4 linked regions of the Drosophila melanogaster genome follow. The protein of the gene in region 2 interacts with the protein of the main gene of each other region in a pairwise test. Each region holds a gene or a part of one and is shown on either strand. Other genes may lie near its edges. The genes, in order: san, Cyp9f2, CG12768 and bys.

Region 1 (4,906 bases), on a different chromosome or scaffold from region 2:
TGCGCCAATGCTGAAAGTCCTCCGTTTTCCGGCGAGCCACATCCTGTCCGGAGAAGTATCGCGAGTATTGGCTCAACAAATGCATACAGTTGCGTTTCTAGAGAAAACCAGATAGAGATGCGAAATGCAAGTTTCTGCATACGGAAATAAGGTCACCCACCTCTCGCAGAAGTAAATACCCATAGGTGCTAGTAATGACCACTTTGTAGGTGTGTATGGCCACGTGCAGCAACATGTACACGTACTCGGGATCCCAGGGCTCTCTCTCCAGCAGCTTTTGGCAGATAACGTACACGAAGCAGGTCATGATAGTGAAATCATAAAAGATACCAGCAGCTGCGGCGAATCCAAAAACTCCGTTTAACTCCGCCAGGAGAAACGAACAGCGCTTGGACATTTCGAAAAGATAAGCAATCCTTTCGTGCACCTCTGAACTGTCATCCGCTTGGTAAAGTTGGTGAAGCAGCTGCTGCACCAGACGCAGACGAACCCTTATAAAGTCCATAATACCTATGTGCACGAAACCCAGCAATCCTACGGAACTGGTCAGCAAGGTGTAGGTGAAGGCCATCAGCAAGGTGGACGGTATGCCGCATGTGCAACGCGTCGTATCGAAGATCAGTGAGATGGAAAAGGAGAAAAAGCAAAAGCCGACAATCACAGTGCCATACCAATACTTCAAGCGAGCGCGTCGATAGTTCCACTGAACATGAGGGAACACCATCAAAACGGAACGATCGAACTCTTGCATCCTAGCCACGAGTTTCAGGTGTCTGTCCTTCTGCAAGTCCAGCGAAAGGCAGTACTCAATGTAGGTGACCGAGCAACTGAGGCACTCCCAGGTGAATATTGCCTTGACCAACGGGCTAAGGTGTCCAAACATGGCAGCGGACATCTCGGGATCCCTCAGCTTAGTCATCACGGTAGCCATAAAGCAGATAACCATAAAGGAGCGCGTGAAAAGGGCATAGCACACAGTCCACCTGTTTGAAAACGCACCTCCACGATCAGGACTTCTCACCCGGATTGTGACCAATCCCCAGTAGAGCAGGAGGCTGTACAAGTTTCCGTAACAGTAGACAAAGCCATCGTCGCGTTGCATTGCCCAAGTAATGTTAGTTTCGACTGGCCAAGCCGTATAGAGCTATTTATTCCCGCGCAGGGGTAATTATTATTGATTACACATAGATATGATCGGACTAATTGAATACATCGTTTTGGCCGCCTCTACATGTCTGTTTGTTATACATATTGAAATTCATCTTTAAACAAATGTGAACTGTCGTGCTTTACTACGTGAATTTGAGTTCGCGGTGGTGCTGGTGGCGGTGCTGTTTGAGTTGGGTGCAGTGCGGCGCAGAGTCTTTTGCAGTACATGAGCGTCCGCCGGCTCGATGCGCTTATAGTATTGCTCCTTGGTGTCAACAATCTCGAAACCAAACTTCTTATAGAACTCGATGGCTCCGTTGTTGTTGATTTGCACATGTCTAAAATTATAACCAGAATTAAAAAACATGATCTAAAGTATTTTCGAAATAAACCTATTTCCTCCTTAGCCAAAAATATATATATTATGTATTAAATGGATAGATAAATAAGCCAGATAGGCCGGAATTAAACTTTCCCACTTAAATAGTTATAGGTTACATTAAAATCGAACTACATTGCTCCCCAGGGGTGTGTCGAAAACACACGAATCTTAATGATAAGTTTTCTTACAGAAAAATGCTGTCGAAGTTTCCGTCCTTCTCGGCGAAGTTCATAATGTGCTCGAACATAACTGTGCCGATGCCCAGGCGCCGGTACGGGGAGAGGCATCCTAGGGTCATGATATACAGGCGCCGCTGGTTCTCAGTGTTGTCGATGCGACAACAGACGGCGCCCACTACAATGTCGTTGTAGTAGGCCAATTTGGCCAGTTCGCCGGCCTCCAGGACGTCCACGTAAAACTTGTCATTGTAGGAGACCGGGAAAACCACGGTGTTGAGCTTCTTTAGCTGCTTGATGTTGTGGGGCGTCACGTCGCCCAGTTCGATGCTGCTCCTGCAAGCGGGAAAGGGTAGGAACATGGGTTAGCTTTTCCGACCCAAGCGGCACTTTTAGGTTATGATTCCGGTGCATCTCCTGCAGTCACAATCCTCCAATGGTCCGGCAAAGATAGCCACTCACCTAGTCATGTTGTCTGTACGATTTCTGTTGATTTAGCAACGCGCTTTGCGCCGAAAATTGTAATAGGAAAATGTGTTTTAAGCGCCTCAGCTGTTCCTGATTGTTCGGGTTGCAGGTCGCAAGTTATCGTTATCGGTTATTGACGCCGGCCAGAATAGCTATTTTATAGCAAGATAAATTTGATTTTCATATCTAAGACTACTAACTAAACTTTTTTGCTCACACTATTTTAAGCAATAAACAAAAACTAATAATTAATTAAAACAGAACTAAAAACACTCAATGCTAAATGAAACATTACACATCGTTTTTTATTTGGGATACGCATACACTAAATGAGATGACAGCTCTTTCCGGTCGGTTGACATTAGCTATCACTTGTTTGACAGTTAGAATATGAACGAACACTTTCAATAATGGCCAACTTTTAATTTCAAAACATATTGTTACCTCTACTTTTTCGTAGTGAGTTATGCTATAGATACACTTTTATGTATGTAACAATATGAAATATTGGGTAGTCCTTGTTTCTAAACTAGTTTTTTTTAAAGAATTTTTTAAATTTACAGTACAACTTTTGTATTTTTTAGCAACTCTTAGTTATATTTATATTATATTCGATATTCGCCATGGGTACGCGAACGCAAATGTGAGAAATCTCCTAACGGGTTTTTCTTCACAAAAAGAAAACAATTCGCGGCTGTTCAATATTTTTCTCCCCCAATATCCATCGATTTCGAGTGCCAAATGAATCCCAACATGAACATGATGCCCATGTCTGGGCCACAAATGATGCAGGTAATGCAATCCTCGCCATCGGGACCCCCAGGACCAGTGCAGCATCAACAGCAGCAGCCTCCACAGCCACTGCAGCAGCAGCAGCAGGCCGAAAAATTGGACAACATTTCCAGGGTGAAGAGTTTGCTGGGACCACTGCGGGAGTCCATGTTCCTCACCATCCGGTCGAGCGCCTTCGCGCTGCAGCAAAACAATCTCGCGGACAACTTAAAGAGGGACACGGGTGCCCACCATGTTCCGCGGTTCGACAAGCACTTGGAAGACTTTTACGCCTGTTGCGACCAGATCGAGATCCACTTGAAGACGGCGATGCAGTGCCTCCAGCAGCAGAACTCCTCCAATCACTATCTCCCCGGTCCGGTGACTCCCATGCGCATGGAGACCTTTATGCCGGACAACGCCGGCCCCATTTCGTATCCCACTTACTTGAACACGGTCCGCGTTCACATACAGTCCGCCAAGGATATACACGACACTCTGATTAGTGCCGCGCAGAACATTTCGCAGGCTGATTGATAGTTGTAGTAGCATTAGGTTTTATTATTTCACACGCATGCACTTAAGTTAAGTAAATAAATATTCTTAGATATAAGATAACAATGATCTTTGTTTGGGAAAGTCGAAATGGTGTTACCATACTCAACGTTTTTACAGGCGGAAGAGTAAAAGGGAAAATAATAAAATAAATATAGCTTGTGGGCATTAGTTTGCATACAGAAAACATGTTACACAAAAACATCGAGCAATAAAATAAATTCTAGTTGTATTTCGTGTACCACTATTTGTGAAAATGTTTGCAGTGAGAACGCGTTGCAGCAGTCGATGAGTAACTGCGCATCCAGTGAGAAAAGGCTAAAAATTCGATAGACAACAGTCGGACGTGTCACAATTAGAACGCAAAAGCAAAACACAGCGGTGCCGCGCATTTATTTACAACTAGAAAAGCGGTAAGGTCTCATTTTGTTGTTAACTGTGCACAAGCCGTTAATTTATTCAACTTCTCCGACCCTCAGCTTACTAAACCAGAACAAATGGCAGATGAACAACCAAATCTTGTGGCCGGACACCCACCTGCATGTAAGTGCACTTGCATTGGTGTGTGTGTGTCGATGCAGACGAGTTTTCGATTTTTGGCAGCAATTGAATCTTATAAGAACAAACTGCCTTGTTGGCAATCAATAATGCACCCAATCAAATCAATTGCCAGAATATCTGCGCCCTTATCAGTATCTTAACCTGTTTCGGCCAAAGCTGATAAGTAAACAAATAAGCGAACACAGGCAAGCAAACGCATAGCTTTCAAGAAATGTATGTTTGTATTTGTACTTTATGCTGACGTCACGTGCAATTCAAACAATAACGTTAACTGAATAGGAAATTATTACTTTTTAAAGTAGCTTTTTACGCCTTATATTTTATCCTTAACGTTTATAAAATGCCATTGACTTAATCATCTTCGTACAATGTAAATAATAACATGTCAACTTTGGACGACTAGTATGGCTTACTTACTTTTTAATAGCCGCTTTACGTAAACACGGCTTGAATCGGCTACTGTGGCCAAGCCTCATTTGTTGCCAACCCTATATGTTTTTGTTATTTAATTATAGTGAAGGCTGGTGGCATGCGAATTGTGCAGCACAAAGCGCCGACGGCAGAACGCGCGCCCAAGGATGCAGAGGATTGTACTGGACTGACAGTGAGCTATTGACATAAGTATGTGGTTTTCAATGGAAACTAACTTATCCTCTAATCCTTTAAAGCAACCCATTGCCGTGAACTCCGGCTCTGTGAGCGGTGCCCCCGTCAAGGGCAACACGGACTTTACGCCCGCCTCCGCCCAGGTGGCCCACTCGCCCAAGCCACCGGCTGCAGTGCAGCAGAAGCCCCAGATCCACATCCAGCAGCCACGGAAGTGATGCGTACTCGGGCGGAATAA
Region 2 (6,225 bases):
AAACAACGAAGGCAGCCAACAGCGGTATCGATAACCAAACTAATCGAAACAAAACTGTGTCGGTGTGACCGTGCCTGCAAATACTTGGAAACCCAAGAACCAGTTGGAGCACTATTTTTAAAAGAAGTGGAACCGAACTGGTTATAGTAATAAACACATATATAAATATTAATTCTTCCCTGAAATAAATAATAATTATTTGTGAGTAAGCTAATGGCACAAATTAGTTAATCAATAGGTAATGCAAACGTAAATCCAAATTTCATATTAAGATAAATATATTTAACATACATACATACATATATGTATTTTTAATAACATCGAATGCACCTCATTAAAGACACTATTTGTTGGCCACGATTTCAAACTTAATGCCGTGCTCGTGCTTCTCCAGCTCGCTGATGAGACTGGTGCCACGGAAGGCTGCTCCGGGTGGCAGGACTCCGCCGGATCCGGGCATCTTGTCGCTTTCGTTGAGGATGGTCTTCGCCGTGGAGAGCAGTGCAACGCAAGTGGATCCATAGCCGGGATTGGGACCCGTAACCCTCACGGTCAGTGTCTTTGTGGGCGGAGAGGTGTACTGATCGGTGGTCTCGGCTAGTTTTTCGGACTTGGGCCAGCCTGTGGCCTTCATGGTCATTCTGAAGAAGGAGCGCTCCATCCGCGCCTCACTGGGACCCTCGCGGGAAGCCATGCCGCCGGAGAAGACGGTGGGGTACTTAAGCAGCAGCTGGCGGCCAAAGGAGAACTTGGCCATAATGCCAATGATAGAGGCGAAGAGCACGACAACGCTGGCCGCAAACCATGAGGGATACGTCATGTAGGCCTGCATCTGAACGGGTCGCTTCTTCTCCAGTTCGTAAAGGAAACGCTGCGAGCGCATCACCACCGAGCGATCTGTTTCAGGGAACGGCAGGATCACCTTGTTGTCCACTTCCGCGGCACGGGAAAGCGGCGATCGTGACTTAAGAGCCGGATGAAAGTTGGGCAGACGCTCGGGAAACAACTTGCGCCGGATGGCCACAGACTCGCTCCGGTTGGCGATAGCGTGAATGGCGCTCTCCCAGGTGCCGGTGTTGAGTGCAGCACTGCCCGTTCCCTTGGTACCTCCCTTGACGCCCAGATGGACAAAGTTCTCCACTGAGTTGACCACGCCGTCGAAGTTCTTCTCCACGAAGGTGACTCCCATGTCGGCGGGAATGGAATCAAAGCCGCACGCACTGATCACGTACACGCCACGCTCCTTGGCGAGATCATGGTAGCGCAGCTGCATGGTTTCCATGTACTGTGGCTCTCCGCTTACGTCTACGTGATGCGTTCCCGCCTCGATGCAAGCCCTGACCACTCGCTCGCCGAAGAACCGATATGGTCCGGCCGTATTGACTAAAATGCGGCAGCGTTTGGCCATCTCTAGCAGTGACGCCTCGTTGTTCACGTCCGCGATGACGATCGGCGTTTGGGAGAGGTCTGTCTTGGACTTTGCACCCATCTCCCGCAGCACCGACTGCAGCTTCTCCTGGTTGCGTCCGGCGATGCCCCATTGCAGGCCCTTCAGCACGCTGACAGCCTCGAAGACGGTGTACTTTCCGGTAAACCCGGAGGCACCGAAGATTATGGCATCCAGTTTCTTAGCCGCCATTCCAGAGTCCACAGATATGCGACTATAATGATTTGACTAGAAATGTCTTATCACTTCCAGACCGAAAGGTAATTCGTCTGCTTCGGCCGACTGGCGAAATGTTAATAATGCTAATCGCACCGTATAAGAGCTGTATTTATTGAAGATAGTAGCGTCGTGACTGTACAAAACTGAATCGAACAGGTAAAGATCGATTGCAGATAGCAACAAGTGGCTAGTAACTCGGATAATGAAGTTGAAATGAAATAAAATATTTTTACTAGAAACTATTGAAAATGAAAATGCTTTGCGTCCTTTTTTATCGATGATAATTTAATTTATGGTGATGATGGTTTAATTTACATCCTAATACTTAAAATCCCTCAGATCAAATTGTTAGTTCTCGAACTACTACGCATAAACTTCGATAGCCAACAAGAAATCGATGAATTTTAAAACGATAAATTGGCCAAGTTTAAATATATGAATTTAATGAAGTTGTGTGCCATTAAAATAGAAAAAATATATATTAAAGAATTAGAAAACAGAATTTCGAAATATTCTGTTTCTATATTTTAAACATAATATTGGTATGCTCAGAGTCGTCAGCATTTTCTCCAACACGCCGTGATAATGAAATGATGAGTGATATTCTAAATCATTTGCGCTCAGAAATTTGTACATACTTGTGTGTATTACAGACAACAAGTATTTTATCAAATGCAGTACACGAAGCTTTGTTAGAAAGCTCTGCGTGGGGACAACAAAACGCTCCCGATTGTTTGTGGCGTAGTTAGTTATATTCTGGACGCTTAGATCGCCAAGCTAGGGTCAACATGTTGTGGGAGTTCTTCGCCCTATTTGCGATCGCTGCCGCCTTGTTCTACCGTTGGGCGTCCGCCAACAATGATTTCTTCAAGGATAGGGGCATCGCCTATGAAAAGCCAGTGCTCTACTTTGGCAACATGGCCGGCATGTTCCTGCGGAAGAGGGCCATGTTTGACATAGTCTGTGATCTCTACACCAAAGGCGGAAGTAAGAAGTGAGTTAAATTCATTGATCCGGATTTAATAAGTTGATTACCTAATATGCATCCGGCTCACTTGCACTTGCACTTAAAACACGTTTGGAACAAGTGTGTATCTACTGGCCTCCAGCATTGCGTACAAGCCTATATAAAATCGTATGTCAAGGTCAGGCAATCAGTGATCTATCTATACACACATTTAGTGGGTGCGGCTGCGTTCGACTACGTTTTGAATATACAATTACAGAAATTCAGAAATACTCTATTATATTTTGTTAAGTCTTTTATCTAAAGCAGTGTGTAACTGCCAAGATAATTGGCGAAATGCTTGGTTCTATTAGTTTAGTTTGCCATAATCTTATCGATTATACGACAGCTTTAAATGTTGTTTGTCTCGGACGGCAAACTTGATAGGAAAAATAATTGATAAAGCTCCTGAAAAGTGCTATAACGATAAGGTTATCTAATTTATTAATTAACTTCATATTGGGGCAACTCTTTGTATGACTTTACCCTTTTTGTTACTTTATAAACATGCAATCATTATTGTACTCAGCCTTTTCAATTGGATTTAATGTACATATGATTTATTTATAGACCAATACGAGAAATCCGCTTTATAAATTTATAGTTTTCCAAAAAGAAATCGAGATGGGTTAATTGAAAATTCGTCGGATAGGTAATGAACAACGCTAGCCATGCATAAACTCGAATTTCTGTTATCGTTTTCTAAACTTGTTGAGCGCACGATTAATAATTTCTGATTTGATTTATCAGTGTGTGACTCACAAAAAGCTTATCGGTCATTAACATTATTATTTTTTTTAGATTTTTTGGTATCTTTGAGCAGCGACAACCACTTTTAATGGTGCGCGACCCAGATCTTATCAAGCAGATAACCATAAAGGACTTCGATCACTTTATCAATCATCGCAATGTGTTTGCCACCAGCAGCGATGATGATCCACATGACATGAGTAACCTTTTCGGCAGCTCGCTGTTCTCCATGCGAGATGCTCGGTGGAAGGATATGCGAAGCACTCTGAGTCCGGCATTTACAGGCAGCAAAATGCGTCAGATGTTCCAGCTGATGAACCAGGTGGCCAAGGAGGCCGTGGACTGTCTTAAGCAGGATGATTCAAGGGTTCAGGAGAATGAACTGGACATGAAGGACTACTGCACACGATTCACCAATGATGTGATCGCCTCGACAGCCTTTGGACTGCAAGTGAACTCGTTCAAGGATCGCGAAAATACCTTCTATCAGATGGGAAAAAAGCTGACCACATTTACATTCCTGCAGAGCATGAAGTTCATGTTGTTCTTCGCATTGAAGGGTCTTAATAAGGTTGGCACAGCATACACACATATCAAAAAAATATATTCCTTAATTTTAATAATCCTTGTAGATCCTTAAGGTCGAGCTTTTCGATAGGAAAAGCACTCAGTATTTCGTGCGTCTGGTGCTCGATGCTATGAAATACCGACAGGAGCACAATATTGTACGTCCCGACATGATAAACATGCTGATGGAGGCTCGTGGTATCATCCAGACGGAGAAGACCAAGGCATCTGCCGTTCGCGAGTGGAGCGATCGCGACATTGTCGCCCAGTGTTTCGTGTTCTTCTTTGCTGGCTTCGAGACTTCGGCGGTGCTGATGTGCTTCACCGCTCACGAGCTAATGGAGAACCAGGATGTGCAGCAGAGGCTATACGAGGAGGTACAGCAAGTGGACCAAGACCTGGAGGGCAAAGAACTGACCTATGAGGCAATTATGGGCATGAAGTATCTGGATCAGGTCGTCAACGAGGTTCTGCGAAAGTGGCCGGCGGCAATTGCCGTCGATCGAGAATGCAACAAGGATATCACCTTCGATGTGGATGGCCAGAAAGTCGAGGTCAAGAAGGGCGATGTCATCTGGCTGCCTACATGCGGCTTCCATCGTGATCCCAAGTACTTTGAGAACCCTATGAAGTTCGATCCGGAACGTTTTAGCGATGAGAACAAGGAGTCTATTCAGCCATTCACATACTTCCCCTTTGGCCTGGGTCAACGCAACTGCATTGGTAAGTTGATTGATTCAAAATTGTTCTTCGAAAAAATGTAAAATGTATTTATTATAGGTTCCCGATTCGCTCTACTTGAAGCAAAGGCTGTTATCTACTATCTTTTGAAGGACTACCGCTTTGCCCCTGCCAAGAAATCCTGCATTCCACTAGAGCTCATTACTTCCGGTTTTCAGTTGTCACCCAAAGGCGGCTTTTGGATTAAACTTGTTCAAAGGAACTAATCTTATAAACGATCAAAATAATAATATGTTTTGTTGAATGTTATGTTTTAAAGAAGTTGACATTATTAAATTTAAACAATTAATGGTAATTTGTTTCTTTGTTTTTAATTTATACCAAAAATGATAAAAAGATAGCATATACTTATGTCGTGACTCTACAAAACTGAATCGAACAGGTAAAGATCGATTGCAGATAACAACGAGTGGCTCGTTTACACGGTAACTCTGATAATGAAGTTGAAATTAAATAAATAATTTTTACCAGAAACTATTGAAAATGAAAATGCTTGGCGGAGTTTTTATCGATGATATCACGTTTAATTTACATCCTAATACTTAAAATCCCTCAACTTAAATTGTTAGTTCTTGAACTACTACGCATAAACTTCGATAGCCAACATGAAATCGATTGCTTTTAAAACGATAATTTGGCCAAGATTAAATATTTAAATTTAATGAAGTTGTGTGCCATTAAAATAGAAAAAAATTATTAAAATTTATTAAAGAATTAGAAAACAAAATTTCGAAATATTTTGTCTCTATATTTTAAACATAAGATTGGTATGCTTTATAAGTGCATAAGATACATGCAATTAATTTGTTTACATTTGCAACCGGCTGAGTTGACGCTGTTGAGACGAAACTCTGCATGGAGGCATTATCCCGAAGATCGGTGATGGAATTATTCACTGAAACGGTTTCAAAGGTGTACAGGGCGCGGAATCCGATGGCCACAAAGCGATCATTGGAATGCAAGGTGACTCGAAAGAAACGTCCATCAGAACGCATTTCAAAATCGGGAAGCTTTCCGCAGTATCTGCTGAACTTTCGATCCGTGCTCATGAAATTGGAAAACTCGATGTAATCGCTGGCGGTTTGGTGGTCACAACTGCACAGAAAAGGGGATTAAACATTTTTAGGTGATAGTTTAGATAAAGATCTTACCTTCCAATGCCCTCGATATCGAAATATGTGAAGTGAAGCACAACTCTTTCGTCACTTGCTCCGTAGAAATAATAATTGCACACAACATTTTCCAGGTAATATCCGGGAAAATTCGGAGAGTGAAATAGGCCACTTATTCGCTCGCTGCTATTGTAGACAAAGGAACATCCTTCCTTTTGAATCCCCGACATGATACCAAAATCTTGAAAATAAGCCAATTTTTAAATAAATATCAGTCTTTATTTGATTAAGACTCAGTGGAAACACTTACTGGTTAAGAAACGGTACTCCGCGCGAAATCCGTAGTATTGCACCTTGTTCGTCATTGTGGGCGGATATTTTCC
Region 3 (6,160 bases), on a different chromosome or scaffold from region 2:
CTTGCCGAGGCAATCTTACTTACACGCTTTTATTTGATAGCTGATTGTGTAAGATGGCATTTCCATATTTGAATGCACTTACCTTACGCAACTCTAAATTCAATAATTTTAGAGGCGACATCGGTCCCCGCTTTTCTCACTTCTCTGCAATTAGCAGAAGCATCTTGTTCATCAGCTCATTAGCTACAGTCTCATGCAAAGTGTTCAATCTGGCGGCCAGAAAGTCACCGAATTTCATGTAGAGCAGTTCTCTGGAGGTAGGCACGTGTCGCGCCTGAGTGTGGGCTCTACCCATACCCCTTCCGCAGTCGCCACCGTCACCGATATAAATGCTTCCGACCGAAAGTCTGCCGTCGGCACCCATCGTCTCCGACTGGCCGACGATTGGTGAGCAGCGTCCGGTCACGTCGTCGTCCTCGTCGAAGTCGTCCAGATCCTCCTCCAGGTCCCCGGCGTCGGTGTCAATAAGCTCGTTGTTGGCATTGATGATCAAATGGGGCGGCGACGTAGCGTACGATGATGAGTTTTTGGGCGTGGGCAGCTGCAGACGCGCTTTAAGTTGCTGTTTGGTCTGCGGACGAATTGTGGCCAGCTTCTTCCTTGTCGCCTCTGGTCCATTTCCGGTCATCACTTCTTCCGGACAACCCCCTGCCGGAGAACACGGCTCGTCCTTTATATAGATGGAGGGCGAAGAGCTGCATGAGCGCGAGCTGGACAGCACCTGGGCGGGCGAGGTTTGTGCTAAGGGCGCGGGTGTGGCATTGGTAAGGGAAGTGGGTAAAGATTGTTTCTGCAGGGAAGTCAGCGTCACGTCCGGTTGCAACTGTAAGGCTTGGAGATGCTGGGCCTGCTGCTGCAGAGCCACCGGCAACTGGCTGAGGGTGAGACTTAGACTGGGAATAGTCACTGGCAGACTACTCTTTGGTTCGGGCTGCAGCTGGGGCTGATTGTTCGGGTTGTTGGGGTCGCTAGGAGCAAAGTACTGATATTCGTCTAGGGCCGCACTGCTGCTGTTGTTGTTGCTGCTATTGCGGCTTACGCAGTTGTTGTTATTGTTGCTGCTGCCTGTGGCTACTGGTGCTGAATCCAAAGAGCCGTGCTTGATGCGCTCGCGAGATCTAAAAAGCAAAAGTTGTAATTAGCTTTTTTGGAAAGCGGGTGCTTGCCTCAAGGTTAGCAGATAGGTGCTATGATGCAGATCCGCAGGCATGCATTTCATTCTTGCCTGTTGGTCAGTTCTGGACCGACCACATGAAACAAATTCAAAGTTTTAATAGAATTTCTATGTATACCCTTCCTAAATGCTTAAATTTAGATTTGACTTGCACACAATCCTTGTGAATTATCTAGACATTTATATTCTTATCTGCGTCATTGTTCTTATTCGGTAGACAACAGTTATTTTCTTTAACTAGTTTTTATTTGATTTGATTTCAGTAAAATCAATGTAAATTTATTGTAACCGAGGAAGGTGACTTGCGTATTATTTTGAGAACTATCTCGACATTTATATTCCCAATCCCTTACACTAATCATTCTTCTTATAACAATAAAAACTTAAAAATCGCGTAAAATCAAAATCTAAATGTTGAATATGTAAATATGTTTAGGCTTTTAAGTGACGGTGATTATTTCGCGGTCACCTCTCTCCGAATTTGCTCAAACAACTTTTTCAGTGATTATAATCGGAACACAATTGCTGTAGTCGAAAACCCGACTATCACATACCCGTTACTCAGCTAGTGCGAACGCGAAATTCTATAATTTTCCTTGCTTGTCGATAGATATTGGGGAATTAAAATTGTTGTGAGCGGTTTGAATTTTTCAGAAGAGGCGTAGCCAAAGTGTTTTTGGTATATCGGTAAGATAAAAAAAATGAAACCAAGAAAAATGAAAACATTTTTCAAAAGTGTGGTATTTTATAGTTCCTGAGCTCGAGGCTTGGCTATTGATCCTGTTCAGAAATATATATATGTACCTTATATGGTCGAAAACGCTTCCTTTTACCTGTTACACACTTTTCAACGAATTTAGTAAACCCTTTTTCCAAAGACACTAGAACAAATAACTGGAATGTCCAAAATCCCTTAAACGGGATCTACATATATCATAAGGTAGTATTTTAGGGCAGGTCAAACGTCGTCTTACTTGCGTTCCCGAATGACCTCCTTGAGGAAGGCCATGGCATCGTAGTATTCCCACTTGGACTTGAAGCGCGTGGTGCCCAGCATCTTTTCGTGGTTCAGCTCGCGGCGGAAGATCTCGCGGAGCGAAGTAAACGTGCGCTGCACCCGCTCGCCATTAACGTTGAAGAGCCGCCCCAACTCGTTCCATTTGATGGCTTTTCGCTTGTCCGAACGCTTGTAGTGTGGCAGGCGGCAGTCCCAGAGGATTGGGTTGAGTCGCACGAGCTCGATGAGTCGGCGCTTCTCGATGTTGTGGCGGGAAAAGGCCATGCTCCTCCGCTCTCTGCTCTTTCAGTCGCTGTTGGCCGAAATGCAACTACCAAAAAGGCCACTGCGCATGTCCTGTGTCGCCGGATGCTGCGCTGCAAAGTAAGTATAGAAATGAGGTGAGAAAATCGTTAAAGTTGCTTGTGCTGATGGTCGCCATGTTCGTTGCATACTTTTCGGCGTATTTCTCGGGTGGGTGCTTAGGGGTTCAAAAGTGTTGACACACGCACCCACGCACCTTGGGTGCAATGACCCCAGCAGGAGGGGTGTTTTTGTTTTCGAAATCGCATACGCACAGTTAAATACAATTGATTTTCGGGAGTATGGGTCCCACTGAAACTGAGACAACAGAGGGGACAAATCAAATACGGGAAATCTGCTTATAGCAGACCCTACAAACCCCAACCCCCACCTCCCCCATCAATTAATGTATGTATTCCACTTTCCCATAAGAGGCTGTTAGTTAAACAATAATCGAATACTGTAAACATTGGCATTCTGAGAGGCTGACTCGGCAGGAAAGTATTTACATACGATTTCGTGTGCCGATCGAGGAATTTCAGCTGCTACTGTTGGTCTGCGACCGATCTGATTGTGGAGGGAACAAGACTACACAAGGATTGGTATTGGTAGGACGCCTCCTTCTCTTTGGCTGCAGCTTGAACTCATTTGCAGTGCACAGCACGCCACACACTCACTAATGGGAACACACTGGGGTCTATAAATAAACGCATGTGCTCTTTTTGGTTATTGCCACCAATTGCTTGTGATACCAACATTATTCACATTGTTCGCTCGGAATTCCTTAGATGTTCTGGTTGTTTGTCGCTTGTACTCAAAGTCGTCTGACGCCTGGAATGGAACTAAAACCTTTTGCTCACAGTTTTGTTTACTGCTGCTGATTCGCTGTTGCGTCGCTCCGGCTTCTCTTTATTAACAATATGAGCAGCAAAGTCGGGGAATTTATTTCAATTTATTTCAATTAACAACAAATGCGGCCGTTGGTGCTTTGCCATGCGGCGTAGTTGCTGCCACTTATTGGGGATGCTGTTGTTATGTGTTGTGTTGCGAGTTGCTCGAGGGCCTTGCCACAACTATTGGCTGCCACAGATTCAGATACAGATACAGATGTTCGGCAACACGGCAAAATAACCACACTCATACACGCGCCCGGCCCTGTTGTCAGTGTGAAATCGCGTATATGTATACACACATTGCCTATGCGGACAGCCGAGAGAGACGAAAACATCAAAAAACAACACGAATAGCGAACTTTGACGAAAATCTGCAGCCAAACGGGCAGCTAACTTGCGATTACTACTAGTGAACCTGTCACTATTTGGTACATCCACTTGCCACTTTTCACTTGTCACCTCTCGCTTGGCCGTTCGTTGGCTTGGCAGCTTCCTTTTAGAGAGTGCGCCGCTGCTCTCCTCGACGATTGTCACAACTGCACAGCAAACCAACTTAGTTTTCTTGCAAATTGGCGCAGCAGCACAAAGAGAGCCGGAGAGAAAGTGAGCGAATGGCGCTTTTCTTTTCTGCTCCGCTCCAGAGCGCAAAGCACGGGAGAGAGAATGAGAGCAGAGGATGCTATTGTTGTTGTTGCAGTGCCGCCTACGCTGGTGTAAACAATCGGAGGCTGCCAATCCTATGCTATTACACTACACAACAAAAGAAATTGGCATAGTGAGGGAGCCTAGAGGGCTGCGTGAATAATGTAATTATAAACTCAACTTTTTGTGTGTGTGTGGAGTGATACGAAAAGATATTTACTTGGTATCTATTTAGGACTATATTAGACATATCCTCCACTCAAACGGGACGCATTTTAAAATAAATAAAATGAAATTTAATAAAAAAATGTATATTATAGGAAACCTTTAAAGCCGTCTTCTTTAAAACACCTTGGTGGAGTACCGGTAAAATATTAGCCATCTATCTATTCATCGAAATCATTACATAAATGGCATTATATATATTCTGTTTATCTATTCTAAAATATATAACTGATAGCTGAAGAAATAGCTGAAGTTTGGAAATGTTCTAGTCACAGTGTTTCAAACTTTGTTAGGCAGTGTTATTTTCGCTGTGAAAAATATTTATCGCCGTTGCGGTTCCGTTTGTGGCAGTGACACGTTATCGCCGAGCCGTGCCCAGTGATTAATCCAAGAGTGATAGCACTAAGTGGCTTGTGAGCGCTATTTGCTTACCACCAGCCGGATAAATAATGAACGGATTGCACCCAGGATTGGCAGCACCCGGCAATGAGCGCAGTCTCCGCAAAGCAACAATTGTACGCTGAGCTGTAGCTGAAGCAACAGCTTGAGCATGAGAGTTCCGAGAGAGCAAGGGATGAAGTCGAGGTCGAGTTTTGGTAGCAAGCTGAGCTGTGGCACAGGAATGAGCGAGGGAGGAGGCAAGGGGCACAGAGGACGAACTGCGGATTAACAATGGTAGCCACTCGCTCTGCTCGCGCGCCATTCGGCATTCGGCATCTATCATCCCATTTGGCTGCACTGCTGGTGCGGATATTTAACAATGCGAACAAGCACAAACAAAAAGGCTGCGCACACACACACGCGCGCTGGCAAATATTCAATTTGCCACTGCTGCAATCAACTTTATTGCCCGCTGTTGCTGTTGCTCTTGTTTACTCGTTGTTGTCTCCCGCTTGGTCATCTAAAAAATAAGCTTTAAGAATGAACTCGTATTTATCAATCGCACCAACACAGCCATCCGTGTTTTCGCTCTCCCTTTCCTTTTTCAGCAGAACGCAGCATACCGCTTTGTCTGATTCTGATTCGACTTATCAGTATGCGTTCTCGGCGCTGATGAATCTGCAGTTGAGTCGAACGCGGTCCACAGCTTAAATTAAATCCATTACTGCAATGTAATCCGTGGTACACAAATATTTTCGGATAGGCAACAGCATGTCACGGGCGTGTCAGATTGGGATAAAATCAGCTGAGTAGGGCGACTTCGGTTCCGTTAGGGGCCAGGGAAAATTGCCTATTATTTTACGTAGTAAGAACATTCATATTGTTCTATTGATATATGTATTTGCGATTTAAGTTTAGTTTTTCAATTCACAAAAAAAACTTATAAATGTGATTCCAAGTTGTTGTGCCATCCCGGAACAGTACAAACCATTAGAAAAAATTGACCAACTTTTTTACACGACGCTTTAATGGTGTTTCCATTGCACTATGGGAAATTTACCCACTTTTTGTGCACAAAATTAACACCTTTATAAAGGAGATATTAAGATATATTAAGATAATTATACTCGTTACTCGTAGAGTAAAAGGGTATACTAGATTCGTTGAAAAGTATGTAATAGGCAGAATGAAGCGTTTCCAACCATATAAAGTATATTTTCGAGTATCGATTTTTGCCACGCCCACTCTAAAACCCTAACGTACAAAACAGCCATGCCTATATAATTTTATTAGTCTTGAAAATTTCTATTGATTTGCTAAAAAACCTTTTGCCACGCCCACTCTAACGCCCTAAAACCTACAAATCGACCAAAACGGTCACAATTTTTAAATTGTCCTCCTTTTATTCCCCAATATCTATCGATATCCCAGATATGTTCGAGGATTCACTTTTCACCCAAGTGAAGCAATTTTGGTAGTATTATGTTTGATCTTTGTGCCACAGCATTTTGGTTTGAATTCTGGTTTTCTGGATCCATGTGTTTG
Region 4 (5,289 bases), on a different chromosome or scaffold from region 2:
GGAAATGTTTAACGTTAACAAAACTGTGCCATTCAAAATGGATACATATCGTTTAATTGTTGTTAATTCGGTTGCGGAACCAATGACCATTTGAGGCAAAACCAATTAATTGTATATTTGTATCTTTTTCAAGTCGAAAACACAACACAACTCGGACCAATGGGTAAATACTTGATTCTTTGATTGAAAACGGTCCCTAAAAACCAAAATCAAAATCGAAATTGAAATCGAAAACCAAAACCGTAATCCCTAAAAGTAATTCAATTAAACGAAATAAATCACGATCAAGAACAAGAAGCAAATGAATACTTGCCACTTTCATTTCTCGAATTGGGCGTAAGGTGCGGACCCTTCATTCGGTATGCACATAGCCAATGCTCACTGTACCCTTCCCCCACATGCGAGTATATCAGTTTATGTCTAAGGCTTTAGCTTTCGCTTCAAACGATCATCGCCTATGTATTTAAAGCCCCGAAAAACTTTCGATATCCTTACTCACTGACGGCATTCCAAATTCATATTGCTTTTAAGATCGGTTATTATATACAAACATACCCACGCTCTCTTTACAAATTGTATTTCGAAATCAAAGCTCAGCTTGAAAACACACAAAAAAAAAAACGGAAAAAAACAGAAGTAAGCAAATTTAAGAAACGAAATTATTGATAAGGCTTGAGGCCTAAGTACTTGGGTAAACTAATTTCAAATGGTCCAGTGTAGTTATTGTAAATTATTCAAATTGATCCCGACCCGAATCGGTCCTTGGAGTATGCCCTTAAATAACACAAATGAAAAACAGAACAGAATAAAACAAAACAAAACAAAACAAGACAAATGTTGGAGTGAGATAACGAAACAATACTTAGAGACTAATAAAAAGTGACGAAACGAAACTTTTAGAAAGATTTTGGTTACAGAATTATATTTAATAATTACTACATTTAAAATTGAGATTATAAAACTACATACATACATAATGTATAACGCGGGCGTCTGGTCAATATGGCCGATGCGACTGCGACGGCGCCAAAAGATACCGTCATTGTCAAGCAAAAAACCAAAAGCAACTAAAACTTAATGCAAAATTGTATAAAAAAAAAACCACACACAAACACACACATTTGTTTTTTCTATTAAAACATTCAAAACATCTGAAGTGGCTTTCATTTTCCCACAGAATAAACATCTGCATTTGATTTTCACTGCATATGTAGGTATATTTACATATTTAACGACTATCCGATATTAAATAGTAAAACAATATCATCTTAAAGTTATCCTTAATTTACACCGCCTCAGCCCTCGTACTCCACATCGGCATCTGTGTACATCTTGGCTGGCTGCCCAGCCAGGCCATTATCCGTCTCCATCATTTCCACATCGCGACAACTGGCCGCCTGGAGCTCCCTTCTCACATCGGGTGTAATCTTGAAATGGCTCTTCTTTCTGCAATTGTGATTTACAGTTACTAACAGTTCTAGGGTTTCAATAGCATTCGATTTACTTACTTGAGCAGCTGCAGCAGTGCATCCCGCTGTTCGGAGGATATATCGTTCTTGTATCGCTGGGCAAAGGTGAGCAGGCTCTGGTGCCATAGCACTGGTAACTCACGCTTGTCGTTCTCGAATCTGCAAGAAACCATGTTATTTCGATTTCTAAAAGGCATTGTAGTGAGAATACCAACCTTAGAAAATGAAAGACTGCGGCATCCACGACGCGATAAGGCAGAGCATACCGCTTGTCCAGAAAGTAACGGATGAATATGGAGTTAGCTCCCGAATAGGCCATCTCACAGATCTTCAGCAGGCAGGCGGAGGAGTGCAGGACGGGAATAGAGCTGCGGGCCACCACACTGCCGAAAATGATGGCCTCGCGCAATGTGCAATCGCCGCCCTCGAGCAGCGGCAGAATGATTCCCTTCATGAAGGCAGCCGGCTTGAAGAGAGCCCTCTTCAGTGCATTGTACAGATGCATATTGAGCTTCTTATATTCGCAGAGATCATCACGAACTCGTGGCAGGAGCACCAGGTTATAGAACCTCTGGGCCATTGCCTGCGACAGCACCGAGCAGAAGATGCGGGTGCCTTGGAACATGGCGGCAGCGCTCCAATTATGGGGCTCAGTGATGAACAAGATCTGCTCCCAATTGCGCAGCTTGGGTATGATCTTGAAGGCCTTAGGGATCTTGCCACTGCGATAGCGTTTCAACACATCGCGCACGCCCTCGTACATCTCCTTCACTTTCGGGTCGATTTCCTCGATCTTTAGTGAGCCCTCGTCAGAGATCTTAGTGTGTATGTCGGCCTCCTTCTCCTGGATCTTCTGCATGATCATCTTGGACAGGTGCAACGTACGCTTGCCCTCCTGTGCTGGCTGCTGGAAGCGCTCGAACGCGGCCACATCGTCTTCGTCCATGTCCAGGTCGGCCATGAGGTCAGTCTCGTTGACCTCTTCATCCTCCTTGACATGGCCATCATCTAAGTAAGGACAGGTAATGTTGGTTAGCTTAGCTTAGGATAGTGAAACTTAGGGCGCACTTACTCAAACTGAAGTTGACTTTCTTGACGGTCACCAGACTGGGAAAGTTCTCTTCGTCCAGCTCCAACTGCTGCAGCTTGGCCGCGGCCAGGATCTTTTGACTACTTCTGGCATCGATGTTCTGTGTTCAAATAGGAAAGAATTTGTTTAAAAACACAAAACGCAGTTCAAACCCGGATTCTTACCGCCGATTCCTCGGCCCGCAGTTTGACTTTATCCTTGTTCTTGTTTTTCGCCACCCTGCCCTCGGTGATCTGCTTCTCCAGATTCACATTTTTAATCGTTGCCACGTTGGCCTTCTTCGGCTTACCCATTTTGCTCGGATATTGTCAAAAATCAAGTGTAATAATAAGGGCAACAAAAATTGTAATCACTACACGTGCTGCAACAAAGCAGTGGCGTTACCGGATATTTTGAAAGAATCGAAAAACAAAACACATTTTCGCACGTGTGGCAACGTCGCAGGGCTGGCTTTTCGATAGGCTTGTGAGACCAGGGATGGTGGCGCAAACGATATTGAATGCAGTAATTCAATAAAATCTATATATATTGTTTTTGAAGTTTATTATGAAATCGATTGTACCGATATAATTCGTTTCAAGATGTATTTAAAAAGTCGCATAAATAAATATTTAGAACGCACAATATAGCATGTTTGATGAATCAGTGCAATTATCTCCATTCTCGTGTATTATTAATAACGAGTGTTATTTTCGTACTTATTTGGCATAATTCTTATAATTTTAATTAATACAAACAATTTAGTGATCTTCATAGTTTTAATAAACTCATTTACTTTTTAATATTTGTTATGTCTCAGTTTTAATGTTATAGTGAAGGTTGGATATATAAATCCACTTCATATTTTGGTACGTTTTTACATCGAAAGAAATTATTAAATATCGCCGTGAGCACGAACTATCGATATGCGGCGGTACAGCTGGTCGATCTGTCATCTCTACTTCCTCCTATCGGTCTTTTTCAACCCTGCGCTCGCAGCCAACAGACCTCCGCCGTTTCTTTTTTTTTCTGCGTTGCGTGCAAACAGACCGACAATATGAAGGTGTGCTAAAAATTTGTGATAATACTGATATAAATTATATCAATTTGTGAAATATTGCGAAAATGCTAAAGCGCAAGCATTGGCGCGGTGATCAAACAAATTGCAAGCGAAAATGTCCAGTGATTGCGTTAAAATAAGTGGATGATATTATCTCCGCTGCAATTCGACTTAATATACATTTATATGTATGTTTATGCATTGTGTGTGACTTTTTTTTTTGCATTGTGTGTTCCAGCTCAACGTTTCCTATCCCGCGACGGGATGCCAAAAGCTATTCGAAGTGGTCGACGAGCACAAGCTGCGCGTCTTCTACGAGAAGCGTATGGGACAGGTTGTGGAGGCCGATATCCTCGGTGACGAGTGGAAGGGCTACCAGCTGCGCATCGCCGGCGGCAACGACAAGCAGGGATTCCCCATGAAGCAGGGTGTCTTGACCCACGGTAAGTTTGCAATGCGATTTACAATTATGGTGTTGAGCAGTGAATGATTGTATCTGGCTAGCCGGCATAGGTTTAGTCTTTTGTACGCCTTGAAAGAGTGGTTCCTATTAAGAAACGTATGGAAATCCTTTTAAGCATTTGTAATAAAGCCTAGCAACCTGGATCAGTCTTGTGATAATATATCTAAAAGAACATAACCTTAATATGGAAGCGTCTGTGTATACTTCTGTGCATATTCGTGGCGAGTTTTTCGATTCTTAGTAATACAAAGCGAATATTTCCAACAATTTAGTTGCAACGTTGCTAGCAGCTAGTAATTTACTATATGTGATTGGAGTACGTTCCAAAGATGAGCAAACAATTAGTAGGATAAATTTCCTTAAGTATTTGCAAACACATTTCCTTACACCCGAATGGCTAATGGCTAACCAGATAATAACTTTCCAATCACTGCTCATATCCATGGACTGCTCTCAAGAAACTACTACAAAAAGCAATCATCTTTTCCAACAGGCCGTGTGCGTCTGCTCCTGAAGAAGGGACACTCCTGCTACCGTCCACGCCGCACTGGCGAGCGTAAGCGCAAGTCTGTGCGTGGATGCATCGTGGACGCCAACATGTCTGTGCTGGCTCTGGTCGTCTTGAAGAAGGGTGAGAAGGACATTCCCGGTCTCACCGACACCACCATCCCACGTCGCCTGGGACCCAAGCGTGCTAGCAAGATCCGCAAGCTCTACAACTTGAGCAAGGAAGATGATGTGCGTCGCTTCGTTGTGCGTCGCCCTTTGCCCGCCAAGGACAACAAGAAGGCCACCTCCAAGGCCCCCAAAATTCAGCGCCTGATCACCCCCGTTGTGCTGCAGCGCAAGCACCGTCGCATTGCGCTGAAGAAGAAGCGCCAGATCGCTTCCAAGGAGGCTTCCGCCGACTACGCCAAGCTGTTGGTGCAGCGCAAGAAGGAGTCCAAGGCCAAGCGCGAGGAGGCCAAGCGCCGCCGTTCTGCCTCCATTCGCGAGTCCAAGAGCTCTGTCTCCAGCGACAAGAAGTAAACACCGCGACACGGAACCCACATTCTTCGTTTAAGCAGAAACTGAACGTTGATCACAACCAAATGATCCACGAGAGGAGAAATAAAACTTTGTAACCATTTATGTTAAATAAACGCGATAAATGGTATAGAATGTGGTGTGTTGTGTTCAATTATATTGATCGATTGAGCGAGTGTAAGCTTTAGGATATATATACTAA

The links.
Region 1: the proteins of Cyp9f2 (region 2) and san interact in a two-hybrid assay, tested with the Drosophila melanogaster proteins (one large-scale study listed by BioGRID).
Region 3: the proteins of Cyp9f2 (region 2) and CG12768 interact in a two-hybrid assay, tested with the Drosophila melanogaster proteins (one large-scale study listed by BioGRID).
Region 4: the proteins of Cyp9f2 (region 2) and bys interact in a two-hybrid assay, tested with the Drosophila melanogaster proteins (one large-scale study listed by BioGRID).

The regions. Positions count from the first base shown.
Region 1 is NT_033778.4:11,358,096-11,363,001, reverse strand, and holds san (separation anxiety), read right to left. Parts: upstream 2,297-4,906; 5' UTR 2,178-2,296; coding exon 2,170-2,177; intron 2,044-2,169; coding exon 1,720-2,043; intron 1,488-1,719; coding exon 1,265-1,487; 3' UTR 1,131-1,264; downstream 1-1,130. Other genes in the region: Gr47b (gustatory receptor 47b), read right to left, coding at 1-97, 161-1,102; ix (intersex), read left to right, coding at 2,917-3,483; CG12384 (uncharacterized protein), read left to right, coding at 3,999-4,044, 4,578-4,666, 4,731-4,886. UniProt on the Drosophila melanogaster protein: N-alpha-acetyltransferase that acetylates the N-terminus of proteins that retain their initiating methionine. Has a broad substrate specificity: able to acetylate the initiator methionine of most peptides.
Region 2 is NT_033777.3:12,402,138-12,408,362, reverse strand, and holds Cyp9f2 (cytochrome P450 9f2), read left to right. Parts: upstream 1-2,334; 5' UTR 2,335-2,454; coding exon 2,455-2,660; intron 2,661-3,473; coding exon 3,474-3,993; intron 3,994-4,054; coding exon 4,055-4,712; intron 4,713-4,769; coding exon 4,770-4,936; 3' UTR 4,937-5,023; downstream 5,024-6,225. Other genes in the region: CG5167 (uncharacterized protein), read right to left, coding at 344-1,639; Sol1, read right to left, coding at 5,483-5,825, 5,882-6,083, 6,153-6,225. UniProt on the Drosophila melanogaster protein: May be involved in the metabolism of insect hormones and in the breakdown of synthetic insecticides.
Region 3 is NT_037436.4:22,908,222-22,914,381, reverse strand, and holds the start of CG12768 (uncharacterized protein), read right to left. Parts: upstream 3,892-6,160; 5' UTR 3,810-3,891; intron 3,550-3,809; exon of another isoform or gene 3,231-3,549; intron 2,793-3,230; exon of another isoform or gene 2,627-2,792; intron 2,549-2,626; 5' UTR 2,457-2,548; coding exon 2,149-2,456; intron 1,119-2,148; coding exon 137-1,118; 3' UTR 83-136; exon of another isoform or gene 1-82.
Region 4 is NC_004354.4:7,899,555-7,904,843, reverse strand, and holds bys (by S6), read right to left. Parts: upstream 2,965-5,289; 5' UTR 2,853-2,964; coding exon 2,724-2,852; intron 2,660-2,723; coding exon 2,542-2,659; intron 2,478-2,541; coding exon 1,685-2,477; intron 1,629-1,684; coding exon 1,509-1,628; intron 1,447-1,508; coding exon 1,296-1,446; 3' UTR 1,201-1,295; downstream 1-1,200. Other genes in the region: RpS6 (ribosomal protein S6), read left to right, coding at 3,596-3,601, 3,837-4,041, 4,555-5,090. UniProt on the Drosophila melanogaster protein: Required for processing of 20S pre-rRNA precursor and biogenesis of 40S ribosomal subunits.